Linked DNA regions of Arabidopsis thaliana. The main gene of each other region encodes a partner of the protein of the gene in region 4 in a complex. Each region holds a gene or a part of one and is shown on either strand. Other genes may lie near its edges. The genes, in order: CIPK16, SIP3, HAI2 and CBL1.

Region 1 (4,988 bases), on a different chromosome or scaffold from region 4:
AAAGAGAAGCTACAGAAAGTAGAGAAAATTTTGTACTTTTGAAGTAAAGAAAAAAAAAAGAAGTAGACAAAATTGTGTAGGATTCTTCACGGTTTTTGCATTCTTCTTTATTACCAAGTCTTCAATATTTTCATTTCAATAAAACTTCCCCTTTCTTACAAAGAACTCTTATTTTCCATTTTTCTTCACATTTTTCCTTGCAAGATCACTCATTTTAATTTATGTAAATGATAGAATTTGAAGATCCATACTTCAGCAATCTGTTTTTCTTGGCATGTTGAGTTTTTATCAACAACACCAATTATTATTTTATTTTCTCTGGTTCAAGAAATTGTCTAAGCTCCATTCAAACATTCTGTACTTATATATAAAGTTTACATCATCACATATTGTGCATCAAATAGCAAAGGTTTTGGCAACATACATATAATATGAATCGTGCTTGTACACACACACACACTCATGTATATATATGTATTTATTGTTTACCCTTGAACAACATTTTTAGGTAAGGGGGTCTTCTATCATCAGGAAAACATAAGGTAGATGAGGTAACATCTTTAGATTCGTTCGAAGTAGAACTCCTATGCATTTGATCAAATTGTTTTCTAATTAAGTAATGCAACATTTAAACCATGTGCAGCACAAACGATGGCTTATTTAGGTGGATTTGCAAATCTTTTCACTCTTTAGGGCATATTCCAATCAACTACTGCTTGAAATTTGACTGATCAATGTGATGCAAAATTCACGGCATGGCTTGTTTTAGCAGCTAGTTTCGACAACCTAATCACCCGAAAATAACAAACAATCGGAAATGCAGCGCGATAAGTAGATATATGTCTGTGATCACCCAATTAGCCACAAAATAGTGTACTATGTTTGTGATGTTACCCTTTTACTCTTCAATTTTAAATACATATCTCGTTATAGTATTTTTTTTTTTTTTTTTTTTTTTTTTTTTGGGTAAAACTCGTTATAGTATTTCGTTAGAGTATTAACATTTGTGTAAACATAATTGTTGTCATTAATCGTGGGTCCAAATCATGACACATCACAAAGTTTCTTGGACTTGTTATACATGTTCCTTAAAATGATTAGTTATATATTATCTTAATAATCCTGATCTTTAAATCGAACAAATTTAGATTTAGCTTCTTTTTTTTTTGTTAAAATTTAGATTTAGCTTTACAAGATGTACCTTTGATTATGATAGAGGAAAATAACAGTATCCCACCCAAATACACGGTTATAATGAGATTTTCATGTATGTAGAAAAATCATCAAATTGTAAGAAAACAATTGGAAAAATTGAGTGTGTTGTTTTGAGTAGCAAAATATGAAGAATCCATCAAACCAAGAAATTAGCAAAGATGTAGAAAGGAAGATTTGGTCGATAGATTCACGGACGTATTAGAAATGACCACTTTCCGATACAATCGTCCCAACTAGGAAAAGAGTCAAAGCTTTTCGAAAGAAATTAAAAATTCCTCTATGAAAAATAAGTCAAGAAATTGTTTTAAAAATATTTAAGGGCCAAGTAGAAAAGGTCACATCTTGCCTTACCAAAAAAAGACAGTTCATTGAAATTTTATCGGGACAAGTTTACTATTTTTAATTAATGCGTATCTACTTCAAAACATGCGTAGCATTAACGGCGATTCCACGTCAATTTCATGGCGTCCACAATTTTTGTATAAGGATAAGAGAGTTACTTTTATATTTTTAAAATCTATTCTGAAAACTTTAAGAACTTATTTACATGAATACATGGTCAGAAATGTGCGAGACCATTGTTTAACTGGTTAAAAAAAGGATTTATTTACATAGAAATGGATTTAAATCACCTGTTACACTTTTATTGAAATCATTCTCTTATGATCATTGCATCGTAACTCGAGATATTTATTTTTCATGCTTTAGTTTGTTAATTATATCTAGTTTTATCATGTTCTATAACCCTTTTTTAGGCACTCAACATAAATAGCAAACCCCGATTTAGTTCAATTCGCGAATCAATTTCGTCTTGGTTATTCTTTTGGCTTTGGTCGTATTTAATTATGCTAGCTGCCAGATCTTAGGCACATCACTTTGTTTAGATAAGATTAGAACATTTCTTCACAGTTCACTTAGTCGTCACATATCAAACAAAGTAGACAACATTATAAATAAAAAAATTCCACAAATAATTTCTGCTTATATATATAGATATGTAACCAAATCACAAAATTCCACATAATTAGTCTCACATATACTTGTAACTAGTCAGACAAAGACAATGGAAGAATCAAACCGTAGTAGTACTGTCTTGTTCGACAAATACAACATCGGAAGACTTCTCGGAACCGGTAACTTCGCCAAAGTGTATCACGGAACAGAGATCTCCACCGGCGATGACGTGGCAATCAAAGTCATCAAAAAAGACCACGTTTTCAAACGTCGTGGCATGATGGAGCAAATCGAACGAGAGATCGCCGTCATGCGTCTCCTCCGTCATCCAAACGTGGTCGAGCTCCGCGAAGTAATGGCTACAAAGAAGAAGATTTTCTTCGTCATGGAGTACGTCAACGGCGGAGAGCTTTTCGAAATGATCGATAGAGATGGGAAGCTCCCGGAGGATCTAGCCAGAAAGTATTTCCAACAATTGATATCCGCGGTGGATTTTTGCCACAGCCGCGGTGTTTTCCACCGCGATATTAAACCCGAGAATCTGTTGCTTGACGGAGAAGGTGATCTTAAGGTAACGGATTTCGGACTTTCCGCATTGATGATGCCAGAAGGGCTAGGTGGCAGGCGTGGTAGCAGCGATGATCTTTTACATACGCGGTGCGGGACACCGGCTTACGTGGCGCCGGAGGTTTTACGGAATAAAGGATACGACGGAGCTATGGCTGATATTTGGTCGTGCGGGATTGTTTTGTATGCACTCCTTGCTGGCTTCTTGCCGTTTATCGACGAAAACGTCATGACATTGTACACGTAAGTATTTCTTGACCAGGTTTTGGCCCAAACCGTATTTGTTTTTGTTATTTATTTGACGAATAGTGAGATACAAAAAAATATTGAACTAAAAGCCAAAGTAGTCCATTTTGAGTTGGGTTTCTAGATGCATCTCAATTTTACATCACATACTTATATATGTTAAAAAGAAATAATAATCATTTTTGGTTAAATAAAATATTATTTGAAAGAGACAGTTTAACTTGTACCAATAGATACAAAACTTGGATATAAGATATACTATTTGAAAGTTTACACACACAAAAAGAAAAGATATATAGTATTTGAATTATTTGTTCACGTAATTCAAATTTTAATAATTACTCAAAATTATACAATATTTTCCAAGATATTGAAACTATTATCAATTTGTGAATATTCGGGTGGTATTTTAGGTACATTAATCTGATATCAAATTCGATAAATGTTGGTCGATCGTATATTTCATTATAGTTCTATATTATCAAAATTTCACGTCCCGTATTTTACTAGATAATTTATAAAACTCCCGCCAATAATAACGGTCTCAAATAGTGCTCTTCTTACAAATTCAAATATTAGTATTGTTGAATGTGAATGTGAATTGATCAAATTCTCATTGTTGTTTCTTGTTTGATTGAACCTTTCGAAATAAACAGGAAGATCTTCAAGGCGGAATGCGAGTTCCCACCGTGGTTTTCCTTAGAATCCAAGGAACTACTCTCAAGATTGCTTGTGCCGGATCCTGAACAAAGAATTTCAATGTCAGAGATCAAAATGATTCCATGGTTCCGAAAGAACTTTACACCATCAGTAGCCTTTTCGATAGACGAAACGATCCCATCTCCACCGGAGCCACCAACAAAGAAAAAGAAGAAAGACCTAAACGAGAAAGAAGACGACGGAGCTTCACCAAGATCCTTCAACGCCTTCCAATTCATCACATCAATGTCTTCAGGTTTCGATCTCTCTAACCTATTCGAGATAAAACGAAAGCCAAAGCGGATGTTCACATCGAAGTTCCCGGCGAAATCTGTTAAAGAGAGGCTGGAGACGGCGGCGCGTGAGATGGATATGAGAGTGAAACATGTAAAAGACTGCAAGATGAAGCTGCAAAGAAGAACAGAAGGTCGTAAAGGAAGGCTCTCGGTGACGGCGGAAGTATTCGAAGTCGCTCCTGAAGTCTCTGTCGTGGAGTTCTGCAAAACCTCGGGGGATACGTTGGAGTATTACCTCTTCTGTGAGGATGACGTCAGACCAGCTCTTAAAGACATTGTATGGTCATGGCAAGGTGATGATGATGAAGACGATGTTACCACTAATGATAATGTTGACACAAATGATAACAAAATAAATAATGTTTCATGAGCTGTAATAATTCACTTTTTGGAATTGGATGTGCGAGGCGAGACTGTCTTATTGTGAAATTGCAAATGTATAAGAACATTTTTTTTATGATTAACAATAAAAATTACTTGGAGGGTTTGTACAATTGTCAAAAACTATTGAAGCAAAATTGGTTATATATGTTATGAACGTTCTATAGGTCATTAGTTCGAGTCTACTTCTCATTTTTTTTTTTTTTCAAGTGTTCAAAGCGAAGTAGTTTTGTTAATCTATATACAAACTTATACGGTTTACAAAATCTATACACGTTCAAGGGTTATATTGCGGATTACTTTTCAAATTCAATAAAATAATGTATATAAGATTAAGTAGGGCGGACTCACGTTGGTGCACCCACTAAACTATAAATATTTGAATTTTTACATAAGGAACTGTAACTAATCTAGTTTAATAAACACTTTGAAATGTAAGAGGTGAAGGGTTCAATGCTTTTTTTTGTAATATCATCTCCATCGTTGTTGATTGGATGTGCGCGAGCGAGATTGTCTTATTGTATATATAACACCATTTTTATAATATAATGTATATAACATTACCATTATACGCAAATTATTAAGCGATTAGTACAACTTAGAATGTAAGAAGGTATACAAGCAATAACC
Region 2 (4,459 bases), 5.3 Mb from region 4:
AGTAAAAGATGGTTATTCATTTTTCGTTTTTTATGTTACAGATCATGGGTTGGTGTTTGCATCTCCGTTAATGAATCACATGTTTGATATGATTATACTAAGAATTCTATTAAAAAGAGAGATATATACTAATATAATATTAATCGGGTTCATGAAACATCCATCCCAATCACGTAACTTCTACTTTTGTTTTGCTGCCCACCTCATCTTCCTTTTACTTTTCATATTCTATTCACTCATCTGAATCCATCTACTCCACTATTATTTATAATCAACAAATCAATGAATACTTGTCACGATCATTTTATTCAAAAAAAAAAAAAAACTCTGATCACTAATCATACAATCGTCGTCACATTTGTGCTAATCATATCCCTATTGTTATATGACAGATTTTACTAACTCGACTTACTCCACAAGCCCTCTATCATCGCTAGCGACTGAATTAACTTGATGATTCTACTACTCATCTTACCAATTTAAAACGCATAAGCTAAACGACTCAATAAAGTAAAAACGCAGAATTTTTTTAAGTACTTGTGTTAATACAATAGTCACATGAATCTTGAAGAGTATATACATGATTCAACACGACACTACAAATTGGACCAGCATAAACAAAGATGATGTCCTAATCAATCCAAGGTAAGAAGAGACGTGCAAAAAAAAAAAAAAAGACATTTGATGAGAATGAATGCATAAAAATTGACTCTTTAACATTCTTAAAAGAGTCATGATTATTATTTGTTGATGATGGAATCTTTAACACACCATTCTACACCACACACAACATTCTCTGCTTCGTGACGCAACATATCGGCCACGACTCAAACACACACAAAAGACTTACAACTTTTTGAACGATCCAAACTATGATACCACATTAAGAATCAAAAACAAGAATCACGAATCGAATCTAGAATCCAACAATATATATTACAACATAAAAATTTGAAACACGCAAGAATTCATCAAATTCAAGCAGGTGTAGAGGTCCAGAAAATGTCCTTGAGAGCTGGTCTAAGAGCAGTACTGCAGAAGTTGTTGTACTCAAGCGTATCTCCATGATCTTTCTTCACTTCCACGACAACAAACGACGGAGCCACCGCGAATATCTCCGCTTCCACCGCCAATTTCCCTTTCCGACCATTCTGTTTACCTTCAATCCTTACTCTACTCTCACTCTTCCTCACATCAAACTTATTCCCAACTCTCGCCGCTTCTTCCAAACTCGAAATCACGCTACTCGCTGGCCGAGACGTCGCGAATCTCATCTCTCTTTTCTCCTCTTTCTTCTTCTCCTCAAACAACGGCGACAAATCAAACCCTTCCGATAACGCGATTATATGAAACGCGTTTAACGTCTCCGTCTCTTCCTTCGACTTGTGCACCAAGAAATCAACATCCTCTTCCGTGGTTGTGATTGTGGCAGCCACTGGTTCGTTTCTTGATCTCGTTGCTTGTTTCTTGAACCAAGGCGAATCCATAACCTTCTCAATAGTAATCCTCGTATTCGGATTCGGATCAAGAAGCTTAGTCACAAGCCGTCTAGCATCAGAAGAAAGCCAACCAGGACATTTGAAATCTCCTCTGTAAATCTTCCTATACATATTCACAAGATTATCATCTTGAAACGGCAAATAACCAGCAAGAAGCACAAAAAGTATAACACCACAAGACCACAGATCCGCCTTAGCTCCGTCGTATCCTTTCTTCAATATAACCTCCGGCGCAACATAAGCCGGAGTTCCACAAGTTGTATGAAGAAGTCCGTCTTGTTTCAAATGCTCAGTGAAAGCAGAGAGACCAAAATCAGTCACCTTGAGATTACCTTCTTCATCTAACAAGAGATTCTCCGGTTTCAGATCTCGGTGATAAACACCACGGCTATGACAGAAATCAACGGCTGAGATCAATTGCTGGAAATAAACACGAGCTACGTCTTCACGTAGTCTTCCTTTAGCCACCTTAGCGAATAACTCACCGCCTCGTACAAGCTCCATGGCGAAATAGATCTTGGATTTACTCGCCATGACTTCGTGAAGCTCGACGATGTTTGGATGTTTCACCATCCTCATCACAGAGATCTCTCGTTTGATCTGATCAACCATACCAACTTTCACCACTTTCTCTTTTCCGACGACTTTCATCGCCACGCTTTTTCCGGTTTGTATGTTACGAGCGTGGTACACCTTCGCGAATGTTCCGTGACCTAGAAGACGCCCTAGCTCGTAACGGCCGTGAAGCAGCCCCGTACTACTACCACCGTCAGATCCATTCTCCACCGGTTTTGCTCCGACCATGGTTTTTTACTTTACAACGATGATTAGAGAATTTTGTAAAAAAGTAGAAGAAAAAAAAGATTTACAGTTTTTCGATATCTTCGAAGAATTCGAGAGACGAGAGTTTAGAAAACTGGATCACCCGTCCTCGACGTGTTTCCGGTGGCAATTCCTGCCGCCGACGGATCGGTTAAACCGATCACACAGCTTAGTCTTCACCGGCGATACTCCGACCATCTCTCTGCATTCCCTTACTTAGGATTTTTTTCCCCGAAATTCAAATAGAGATTTCAGAAGTAAATTTTTGAGTAAATAAACGAAACTCTCGTTTAAAGTTAAAAATCTTAATTCTCCTTTTGCCGTCGGATAAGAGCTAGCAAAAGAGTAGTGTTTATATAGATCTTAACGACATTGCAATTACGTAGATACCCTTATTAGGGAGTGATAACTACACCGTTTAACCTCCTTTCGCTGACTGACATGTGTCTTCGGCAATCCCTTGGCGGCTTCGAGTTTGTCAATTATTTGGATAGCGATGACGACACGTGTCTTTTTATGACCGGTCACGATGCGATTTACTATTCTATCCCTCTAGTGTTTCGTATTACGGATAGGGATTAACGGCCTAGTGATTAATTTTTTTAGGGCCTGACGGATTAAAATGCAGCGGGTGCGGTTATGGTTGCGGAAGTTTGCGGAAACTGGCGGTTGCAGTTTCAAGCGTTATCAAACGTTTTGAACGACTGGTTGAACGTTTGATAATGGGTGCGTTTGCGGGAGTTTTATGACTGGTAAACCAGCGGGTGTGATAGTAATTAAACAAAAATAAACCAAAATAAATATAATATATTACTATTAAAAGAAAGAAAAATATAATATATTATTATGATAAATTCATAATATTAGAAAAATTAAATATAATTAAAAATTAAAACCGTAAATAAAACATTAAATTCAAAAATAAATAAATTTTGCAAGAAAAAGCTTAATACTTTATGCATTTGGTACATCACCAAAAATTACATCAAATAGTGTGATAAACTGTAAATAACGTTGAACTCGCGGATTTTCCAGATTGCCTCTATACATATAATAAAGTTTCTTCAAGATATCCAAACGATTTATAACACATCTCCAACTCAAAAAAAAATCAAACTGGTCGTGAATGGATGAACGAATATATGATACTTACTTTTGATTATTGATTTTGATTTTAATTTTTATCCGTTTGGGTGGATGCCATAATTGAGAGAATAGAGTTACAATATATTAATTATTAGAGTTTTCTAATAAGAATAAGATATATAGGGTTTGGGTGGAAAATATAATTATTTTAATTAATTATAAAAATAATTTTTTTTTTAACCTAACCGCTACCGCCCGCAACCGCAAACGCTTGCGGGAAGGAGCTTTTGAAATCTGGCGATTTCGAGCGGTCCAAAGCGATATCTAGCGGTTTATATGATTGGTGCCAATCGCTAACAACCGCTACCACCCGCAAACGCTGCGTTTGCGGGTGGCAGAGGGAGAACCAATCAAGCCCTTAGTTTAACTGACTACTTACCCATTTGCATTGCATTATGCATATGGATAATTGAGGGAAATAGCATAATTATATACAATGAATCAAGTTCTGTATCTACAAAAATTCATAAGGTTTATAAAGAAAATAGTTGTGTCTTAATGTAGGGTCTGATAATTTTCCATAGATTCCATGATTCTTTACTATAATTTGTGTTCAATTGTTTTCATTCGTTGTGGTCCTTGTGGACCATTATGTGAGTGTAGATTCTAGGGTTTTCTACTTCATTTCTTTGTTTTTATACACGAAGATGGTAGATAAACTGTGAAGTTTTTCTTGTTTATTTTGAGGCTATAATTTTTGAAACGGATGTTGTAGCAAGAATATATAAATTAAAAACATTCATAGATATGATAATTATCATGTGGTCCGTAAATAACTAAAGTTTGGTTTGCTGAAGATTCTCTATATTACTACAATCAATCAATTAGCTAATGAGTTTTGAGAAGATTTTTTTTGTTTTTGTTTTAAATCGTTCCATTTTAAGAGGAAATATTAGATATGCTATTTTATTAAGTTGTTATGCCCAACAAATAAGTCGTTCCATATACTTTTCAAAATGTTAATAACATATTACATAAAAAAAAAAAAAAAA
Region 3 (4,372 bases), on a different chromosome or scaffold from region 4:
CTTGAGAGACACATTAAAGCTTGTCATCGTTCACTGGAGAGAGTAGAGTGTGTGAGAGACAAAGTGACCTAACTTCACTGCAACAGTAGTCGGTAAATATCCAAACATAAGAGCTACGATGGTAACACGTGTACGGTGGAGGAAAAGAGAGCCCTCAGATTCCGTTATAAAGGAGGTGAGACCCACTCGCCGGAATGGAAACAAAGGAGAAACGTAGAGGTAAATGGTTGGGCCACTGCTTCACCAAAAAGCCTTTTCTATCTTCTTTTTATTTTTGTTTTGTGGCTTTTAACGGTTAACAATATAACTCCTCATTCCAAGACAATTACGTGTCCTCTGTACGGCTTTTTCATTTTTCACTTTCTACTTCATAGTGACTTTAGGGAGGCCTCAATTTTTAATTACTCGAGGATTATTTAGGTAATCATGAATGTAACTACAGCTTTACAGGTAATTAAACAGATGAGATTTAGTTGCGTGAAATCTAGCTGATCTGGTGCTTATATCAAATCCAATTGATGGAGACAGATTTGGACTTAAATTCATGATTGTATTTGTAATCTTATATACGTTATAGTTAAATTTCTTTCTCTCCGTACGTACTCTAACTATAATTATTATTAAATGCTGAACGCAATGCTTTTGAGTGCTGAGAATCTTTTTGGTCTGATTCAAAAATGATGTATTAGTACTCTGAATTCAATCTTAACTTCTGCAACGAATCAATGTATTAATTTATAGGAGATCCGGATAAAATTATGGATATATGCACGCTACTTCTTTCATTTTTAATTAGGTAAATGGTTATAACTTTATTTTATATATCAATTAAATGATTTTGGTATGAGATTACTAGTACACTTTCTTTGCAAATGTTTTAAACACGACAAGACAAAAATATTACAAGCATATTTTGGTAAAAAATATCATAAGCTTTCATATCAAAATCATTAGTTATGATGTTAGATTTTTTTTTTTTTTTTTTAACACTACAAAAAGCTCTGGTCTTAATATGTTAGAAATTTTAGTCCAAACCAGCCTACAGAGGATTTAGCTAAACAATTCCCAAGCACCTTTTAAGTGTTAACCGAAATAACGTAATATGATGTTAAAGGTTACATAAAAACAAAACTAAAGAATTTTCATATGAAAAGTTAACGTACGTGTCTTAGTGTAACCTAATTTTAGTTCACAGTATATAAATTCTTTAATGAGATGATCGCAAAATCGCTGTATACAATTTCGTACTTAATTCGTTAGTCTTGAAAAGTTGACCTAATTTAGATCAAATTAAGGTTAACTACAATAAAAATTTAACTAACGTAATGGGATTCTTTAAAATTAAAAAATCGTTGATTAGATAGATATTTTATCTTTAAGGGAGACACAGAGACAATTTGGACAAAAAAGGTCTTCCTGAGAAAGAAGTGGACCACAATCGTGGCGCGAAAGGAACTTCCTCCTCCCCTCTGTTGCCTTGTCATTGGGCCACGTATATCTCCACCTGATCGTGATGCTTACGTGGTCCATTTCTAGATACTATAGTGACCAGATCAACGGTCAAGATTGATTCTAATTTAGACGAAAGACCAACACGTCACGTCGCTAGAGTAAAAGATTTTTTGAAGGCGGAGGGAGAAAAATCAAAAGTTAAAAGTAATTTGAAAACGAGGAAGAGAAAAAGGAATTTTAAAATGTTTAATGAAGCGGTAGGCCGCATGGGTATATAAATGGGCACGCTTTGTAACGTGTAACGATGATATTTATTCAACTGCGTGGTATAACCAAAAAAAAAAGAAACACTATTCGACTCTTTTTTTGTTTTTGTAATAAACATAAAATAAATTTTGGAGAGAGATATTTCGTCGGAAATTAATTGACGTTCAAAAGATTCGTTACCGGAATATTTAGTAGAGGCGGCGATCGAGTTATGGCGGATATTTGTTATGAAGACGAGACGTCGGCTTGTGAATCAAGACCGTTGTGGTCTAGCCGGAAGTGGAGGATCGGTGTCCAGCGATTCAGGATGTCTCCGTCGGAGATGAATCCCACGGCGTCGACGACGGAGGAGGAGGATAAATCTGAAGGGATTTATAATAAGCGAAATAAACAAGAAGAGTACGATTTTATGAACTGTGCATCGTCGTCACCTTCTCAAAGCTCTCCTGAAGAAGAGAGTGTATCACTTGAAGACAGTGACGTCTCTATCTCCGATGGAAATTCATCGGTTAATGATGTTGCAGTTATTCCGTCGAAGAAGACGGTTAAAGAGACGGATCTGAGGCCGAGATACGGCGTCGCATCGGTGTGCGGGAGAAGAAGAGATATGGAAGATGCGGTTGCGTTACATCCGTCTTTTGTACGGAAACAAACGGAGTTTTCTCGAACAAGATGGCACTATTTTGGTGTTTACGACGGCCATGGCTGTTCTCACGTACGACGCCGTTTTACCCTAATTTGAAAATTTCAAAATTATTGATATATTTACGGTTTTGCCTGATTGAAATATACGATGTCGTTTTTGTAGGTTGCGGCTAGGTGTAAAGAGAGACTTCACGAGTTAGTGCAAGAAGAAGCGTTGTCGGATAAGAAAGAAGAATGGAAGAAGATGATGGAGCGTAGCTTCACACGTATGGACAAAGAGGTTGTTCGTTGGGGTGAAACTGTGATGAGTGCTAATTGTAGGTGTGAGCTTCAAACGCCGGACTGTGACGCTGTTGGATCCACCGCCGTTGTCTCCGTCATTACGCCGGAGAAGATCATTGTTGCGAATTGCGGTGACTCAAGAGCAGTTCTTTGTAGGAATGGTAAAGCAGTACCTCTTTCTACAGATCATAAGGTCAGTCTTTATCTCTTTCTAACTCTTTCTTGATTTGTTTGATTTAGTGGATTTTAACTCTTGTTTACGTTTGAAAATGAACAGCCTGATCGTCCGGATGAGCTGGATCGAATCCAAGAAGCAGGAGGACGAGTGATATACTGGGACGGTGCAAGAGTCTTAGGCGTTTTAGCCATGTCACGAGCCATAGGAGACAATTATTTAAAACCGTACGTCACTTCGGAGCCGGAAGTGACGGTTACGGATCGGACTGAGGAAGATGAGTTTCTGATTCTAGCGACGGACGGGCTATGGGACGTAGTGACGAACGAGGCAGCGTGTACGATGGTGCGCATGTGTCTCAACAGAAAAAGTGGTCGTGGAAGACGGCGAGGAGAAACACAGACTCCGGGGAGGAGGAGTGAAGAAGAAGGGAAAGAAGAAGAGGAGAAGGTGGTGGGGTCAAGAAAGAACGGGAAGAGAGGAGAGATCACGGACAAAGCATGTACGGAGGCGTCAGTATTGCTGACGAAGCTGGCGTTGGCAAAACACAGTAGTGACAACGTAAGCGTCGTCGTTATTGATCTCAGAAGAAGAAGAAAGAGACACGTTGCTTGACACTAATCTCCTCATCACTCTTACTCCACCGTTTTTTGTGTTGTTTAAAATGATTCTTTTACCTTGGGACGAAGGTAGCTCAAATCTTTGAACCCAAAAGAGAGAAAAAAAAAGCATTAGGTCTAAAAAAAAAACCCCGGTTTACTGAAAGCGGTTAAACCGGGTATGGTTGGGTCTTTTTTGTTCTGAACCTTTTTTTCTTGCCTTTTTTCGGTGTGTAATGAACAAACAGAAAAGGAAGCCGGAATGTGTCACTGTCTAGGTGGAATCAGTTCAGAATTCAATTAATAAAAAAGTATGTATATGTTTTCTTGGCTTTTAAAGCAAACCAATTAACTCGGATACGCGTGGTGATCTTTGAGAACATCACCGGGAATTTTCAGTTTGTTGATAAAGATTTTAAAATCTCTATAAACGAGTGGGCCTTTTTGGTGTTGGAAGAAATTCAAAATCTCACGGAAACGAAAAGAGAGAGAAGATAATTGGGAAGAGGACGGAGTACGTGTCGAAGAGGTAAAAGTAGAAACCCTACACCACGTAAAGAGGATGTGACACACCGGAACGATGCATATGTTAATATGCGCATTCGTACGTGTCGGTGTCGGTGTCGGGTAATTGATTGAGATCTGAATATGAACCTAATCAGACTGTTTTATCTAAACATGATCACTGGTCTGATGGAAAATCAAAATTAACTTACCTGTCATGTAATGTAAGAATTTTATTAAGAAGGAAAATCGAACCAACACTCCCAAAGCATTTGGGCCGAGAATTTTGGGGTATTATATTTTCATCTGAATCCTATAAGGCTATAACCTACCCAAAAATTTGGTAGCGCAACATCTAAACTTGATACAGAAAAATGAGACAAGGATATATTAAGCTTCAAATAGATGACCCATACAAAATGTTTTAATTGCCCAACCTAAACACATA
Region 4 (5,396 bases):
CTTCAACCTCATAACCATCAATTAAACAATTCTGTAATCACTAACACATCATACATATCTAAAAATTCAAAATTGGTAACTCACCAAAATTCTTTAGTAGATGACAAAGCCCAGCCACCAATGAAGCTATGTGGTTGCAATCATCAGAATCAAATCTCTTGTCCCCATTTACCGTATCCTATTCAAAAACATGTTCAAATCTTAAATTGAACAATCCGAAGCAAATTGCCGAAGTGTGAAACAATAAACCAATCAATCAATACCTCTAAACGAAAAGGGAATTGCTCAATGAGAGATTCGAAAAGAGTTGAAGGAGATACGCCTGTGGAGCTTAAAACACAGTCAAGGAAAGCAGGAATAGCTGCTGGTGGAACTTGCTTGAAGCTCAGTGACAATGAAGTAATCACTGACGAACCCATTTCAATTGAAGCTTCGAACTTCAAAAAAATTGGCTGCAAGCAGCCAGAATAGATGAAGAAACGTAAACGAATTTGAAATTAGTACAGAGGGAAGTGTTACGAGGAATCTCTCTGTTAAACCCTTTCAAATAATTTTCATGGCTTAGGACAGATAAACCCTAGTCGTATAATTAGGGGGGAAATTAGAATTATTGATAAGGGCTTTCTTGGGCTTAACTTAGTATGATTGGGCCGTATGGGATAGACTTCAGGAGAAGAAAAAAAAAAAAAAACCGGAAATTGTTCGGGGGATTGAACCCGACGTGAATCGAACACGCAACCTTCTGATCTGGAGTCAGACGCGCTACCATTGCGCCACGGATCCGGATGTTATTATGTTGCATTTATAAAATTATAATACCGTAGTATACGCAAATTAAACAAAACATTTTGAGGACGCGTTCCCAACACGGCCGGTGACCAAAGAGTCAATTTAAGCCCGCTTTAAAGATATCAAAATGATATAAAACTCTAATTGATCGAGTTAACGGCAGGAGAATCAAAGCTACTAATCATAATCAAGAAATTTAATATATATACGCTATTATTATTGTTTTGAACGATAAACACGTGGTCTGGTCGTGATTAAGGTCCTAATTATGTCAACGTTTGCCTGCCACATTGCAGACCGAAGTACTAATTCCACACCGACTGGTCTACGACATATTTAATTCATAAACACAATACTTTATAATTAAATTGATTCTTGTAGAGATTTGGCTTCATGATCTGATTTATTTAGTTAATAACCATTTCAACAGATAATTACAGTTTAGAGCCTTTTTCCAGTTGTCAAGAGTGTTATGGTTTTAAAATGGCACCCTGTAAATATCACATATGTTAGTGGATTTATTTTACCAAAGAAACAAAAAATGTTAATGGATTAAAAAACTTGTGTTTTTTTAGATAGCAAAACCAAAAGAAGATATGGTGACCACTAACACGATCAGTCGAAGACAAATGTTTCCCAGACTTTATTATTGGCGTTTCCATTTTGCATATTAGTCAAATTATGGAGCATCGCAAATATCTAATAAACTAACTATATAAAAAGTTATTATAATACAGGGTTACCAATTCCGTATATTCAGAATATTCCTAAGAGGTGCCATTTTGACTAATAAAATGGACGGATCTTTGATTTATTCCGGAAGTGAATGGATATTAGAAGAAACAAAAGAAATTTTGAATTTCTTGTCCAAAAAATATTTTTCCCATTCTTAGTATACAGAAACATAGAAAATATCGTGTATGCTTACGTAACAATCAAGTTGTAAAAAGAAAAAAAGACAGAAGATAAATAGTACAGAATGAACATAACAGAAATCAATCTATGGAATTAGGTACAATTAGGTTCGGTCTAACTGAAATTACATGACGACAGAAAAAACTGAACTAAACGCCGATTCTATTAACTTCCAAAACTGACTCGTCTCACACGCGCTTACTATGATTCACACGTGCGAATATGCCATCATATAAGCGCTACTAAAATTCATTCCAAAGGAAAAAGAAAAATAAATAATCGATCTCAACCGTCCGATCATCCATCTTGCCATCACCGTTCACCAATCTTCTTCGTCTCCTCTCTCTTTCTCTCTTTTTGCTGTTTCTAGCTCCTCTCTCTCTGGATCTCGCCGGCGAACCGTTTCTCTTGGGTGGTGAGTGTTGCTTCTTATTTTTAAGAATCTTTTTCTTTTATTTCCATCGAATTTCGTTTTTTTGAGTTTGATTTTTGGCCTGTGGAATTCTCGATGTTTCTACATTGATCGTCTGGTTTCGAATCGTGTTTTACTGGTACAATTTTGATTCCATCTCCGTATCTTATGGATTCGAAGAACTTTGTGTTTTTTTTTTCTTTCTTCATTGATGCTACTTTGCTAGGGTTTACACTTTTTTCTTCCATGGTAAAAAAATTTGAGCAAAGTTGTTGAGATTCTTCTAGACTGTTTTCAATTTTACGTTTCACAAAGATTTTTTTAGATGATTTGTTTCTAATGAAATGGCATTGTTTGTGTTCTGTTTCCATATGTGTAGATTTTGAAAATATGTTTGTGATGATTGTGCAGTAAACAGTAGCAATCAAGCTATAGAATCTCAGATATCGCTGAATTAGCTGTTGGATTTTATCCGCCTTTTCTTCGTTATCCGGGGCTCGGGTATAAGGTTTCATCGTCTTATTTCATCTGTAAATGGGCTGCTTCCACTCAAAGGCAGCAAAAGAATTTCGAGGACACGAAGACCCTGTTAAGCTTGCCTCTGAGACAGCTTGTAAGTTTACTCGCGCTATAAGTTTAAACCTCCTCTAGATTCATTTCTCTCAAAGCTGCATGTTCATTTGTTTTCTGATATGAGATGAGAATCATCAGTTAGATTCAAATCATTCTTTCTCTGTTCACTGATTTAGTTTATCTCCGGTTTGGATTTTTTTAGTTTTGTGTTTTGGAGTCTTTGTCTGCCTAACAATTTCTAGTAATGATCCTTCAAAGTTGGTTAACACTCTATCTCATGTTTCTTGTTACCAATACCATCACCTTAATCTTGTTCCTTAACTTGTCAAGACGAGTTCTCTCTCCATGCAAATTCTAAATGTGAATTATTAGTCTCTTTGTTTGTTTGTTTGTTTGTTCCTGGTAATTCTTTGTTTTGATCTCGTAGTGTTGCTTGTTTTTTTCTCTTTTCCAGTTAGTGTGAGTGAGGTTGAAGCATTATTTGAGCTATTCAAGAGCATAAGCAGTTCGGTTGTTGATGATGGTCTGATTAACAAGGTACAAAGTTTGTTTCTTTTGACCCAATTTGGATCTTTTCATGACCCCATCGTTGTATCTTTTTGTTCTTTACGCTATTCATCTACAGTATTTTTCAACTTAGTTGACTTTATTTGAGCAATAATTATTCTTCCATGACGATATGTCTGTTCCATATTGCATCGATTCAATGTATCGTAGCCCTTAATGTTTGACTTGAACTTAACTTATTTTATTGATTGCTTTGATTTTGAATTTTGAAGCCTTCATGGCCCACCTTGTTTATGTTGTTTTTTAATCCTGGCTTCACATGTATGCAGGAGGAGTTTCAACTTGCTTTGTTCAAAAGCCGGAAGAGGGAGAATATATTTGCTAATAGGGTAAAATCTTAATTCTTCAGGCTTTTACAAGATTCATCTTCTGGAAGAGTGATCTAAACCAAGATAATATGTCCATTATCCTAAACAATATTGCTTTTCCGCAGATATTTGATATGTTTGATGTTAAACGAAAAGGAGTCATCGATTTCGGGGACTTTGTAAGATCACTCAATGTTTTCCACCCCAATGCTTCTCTAGAAGACAAAATAGATTGTAAGTTGACATAAGATAGTTTCATATATAGGTGTTTATTGAAGCTTTTGTGAAGAGATTTATTGATTCTGGTCTGCCATTTTTTCTCAGTTACGTTTAGGCTTTACGACATGGACTGCACGGGTTACATTGAACGACAAGAGGTAATACTAACTTGCAAGCTTTGAATACTAGTCATGATAGATCTTTGCCATGTTCTTGAGTATTCATCTTTTACTTAATAACTTTGCAAGAAATCGTTAATGAATGTGATATATTTGCAGGTCAAGCAAATGTTGATCGCGCTTCTCTGCGAATCTGAAATGAAACTGGCTGATGAAACCATAGAGATAATACTCGATAAGGTTTGTTGTTGTCTAAGGCTTTATTTTTCTAGATGGTATACATTTAGAGATGATGTTCTTAATGTGGTTTCCTTCGTCCTTCTCATATATGAACAGACATTTGAAGATGCAGACGTGAATCAAGATGGAAAAATTGATAAATTAGAGTGGAGTGATTTCGTAAACAAAAATCCATCATTGCTTAAGATCATGACTCTTCCATATCTCAGGTATATTACAAATTGCCTTTTATGGAAACCAAAGAAAACTGAAAAATGCCAAATGAAATGTCATATTAACTTGTACATAAACAATGCAGGGATATTACGACAACGTTTCCGAGTTTTGTCTTCCATTCGGAGGTCGATGAGATTGCCACATGAAGAAACAAACTGGTTTAAGACCGAGTAGATTGCCACGAGTTGGAAGAACAAGTCTGAGCTAATCGGTGTAATCAACATCTGTTTGTAAACAGTAGTAGAGCATATTCTCTTGAAATTGTTTGGGTTACTTTTTTCTTCTCACAACAGTTTAAAATTTTGGGTTTTTAGCTTACAAAAAAAAAAAAAGAAGAAGCGCGTAATCACCAATCCTTCACTTCATATAGTTAGGAAATGTTAATGAGTTTGTACATATTACATCATACGTTTGTTGTAATTGTTTTTTTTCAAGTAAAAAAGTAAAGATTTGTTACGTTTACTCGGGGTTCTAATTGTTCCAATGGAATCTTATACTGCAAAAACGTGAATTTGAGATTTTGTTGGGTCCTTAACCGCAAAAGCGAAAGTACGAATGTCCTAGGACCCGACCCGATGAAATTTACAGTCTTGCCACTCTTCTCTTGTTACAGTGTTCCTCTCTTCTCTCTCGATTTCGAAGTTTCCAGCAATTTAGGGTTCTTTCTCGATTGGAGAATTCGTATGTTGTTATCATGTTCTCGTCATTGTTGTGCTTTCTTTGTTAAATTCTAGATTTGGAATCGAAATTCTAGACTAATGTTTAGGAAACGGAACTTAGTTCTAGAATCATTTCGTCGATTCGATAGCGGTAACGTAGAAACCCTAATTTCATGGGTCTTGTGTAGTCGCACCTCAAAGCCGTCTCTGTTCTGTACTAGTGTTAAACCTGCTAGATTAAACTGGGAAGTTTCTTCTCAAGTAATTCTCAAGAAGAAGCTAGAAACAGCTCTTAAAGATCACCGTGTAGATGATGCTTGGGACGTGTTTAAAGATTTCAAACGCCTCTATGGATTTCCAGAGAGTGTAATCATGAACA

Evidence for each region.
Region 1: CBL1 (region 4) and CIPK16 share a complex: the UniProt entries of both Arabidopsis thaliana proteins name them as parts of the K(+)-channel calcium-sensing kinase/phosphatase complex.
Region 2: CBL1 (region 4) and SIP3 share a complex: the UniProt entries of both Arabidopsis thaliana proteins name them as parts of the K(+)-channel calcium-sensing kinase/phosphatase complex.
Region 3: CBL1 (region 4) and HAI2 share a complex: the UniProt entries of both Arabidopsis thaliana proteins name them as parts of the K(+)-channel calcium-sensing kinase/phosphatase complex.

What each region holds. Positions count from the first base shown.
Region 1 is NC_003071.7:10,669,901-10,674,888, reverse strand, and holds CIPK16 (CBL-interacting protein kinase 16), read left to right. Parts: upstream 1-1,996; 5' UTR 1,997-2,278; coding exon 2,279-2,979; intron 2,980-3,638; coding exon 3,639-4,347; 3' UTR 4,348-4,479; downstream 4,480-4,988. UniProt on the Arabidopsis thaliana protein: CIPK serine-threonine protein kinases interact with CBL proteins. Binding of a CBL protein to the regulatory NAF domain of CIPK protein lead to the activation of the kinase in a calcium-dependent manner.
Region 2 is NC_003075.7:15,065,244-15,069,702, reverse strand, and holds SIP3 (SOS3-interacting protein 3), read right to left. Parts: upstream 2,676-4,459; 5' UTR 2,304-2,675; coding exon 978-2,303; 3' UTR 520-977; downstream 1-519. Other genes in the region: AT4G30970 (uncharacterized protein), read left to right, coding at 393-437. UniProt on the Arabidopsis thaliana protein: CIPK serine-threonine protein kinases interact with CBL proteins. Binding of a CBL protein to the regulatory NAF domain of CIPK protein lead to the activation of the kinase in a calcium-dependent manner.
Region 3 is NC_003070.9:2,280,215-2,284,586, reverse strand, and holds HAI2 (highly ABA-induced PP2C protein 2), read left to right. Parts: upstream 1-1,758; 5' UTR 1,759-1,930; coding exon 1,931-2,434; intron 2,435-2,527; coding exon 2,528-2,839; intron 2,840-2,923; coding exon 2,924-3,436; 3' UTR 3,437-3,841; downstream 3,842-4,372. UniProt on the Arabidopsis thaliana protein: Involved in the negative regulation of the K(+) potassium channel AKT1 by its dephosphorylation, antagonistically to CIPK proteins (e.g. CIPK23). Functions as a positive regulator of abscisic acid-mediated cell signaling during seedling growth.
Region 4 is NC_003075.7:9,814,492-9,819,887, forward strand, and holds CBL1 (calcineurin B-like protein 1), read left to right. Parts: upstream 1-1,862; 5' UTR 1,863-2,119; exon of another isoform or gene 2,120-2,255; intron 2,256-2,495; exon of another isoform or gene 2,496-2,527; 5' UTR 2,528-2,650; coding exon 2,651-2,729; intron 2,730-3,143; coding exon 3,144-3,226; exon of another isoform or gene 3,227-3,489; coding exon of another isoform or gene 3,490-3,525; coding exon 3,526-3,585; intron 3,586-3,689; coding exon 3,690-3,798; intron 3,799-3,888; coding exon 3,889-3,941; intron 3,942-4,061; coding exon 4,062-4,142; intron 4,143-4,238; coding exon 4,239-4,532; 3' UTR 4,533-4,862; downstream 4,863-5,396. Other genes in the region: AT4G17610 (tRNA/rRNA methyltransferase (SpoU) family protein), read right to left, coding at 85-178, 264-419; AT4G17616 (Pentatricopeptide repeat (PPR) superfamily protein), read left to right, coding at 5,117-5,396. UniProt on the Arabidopsis thaliana protein: Acts as a calcium sensor involved in the signaling pathway during growth and development and in response to abiotic stresses. May function as a positive regulator of salt and drought responses and as a negative regulator of cold response.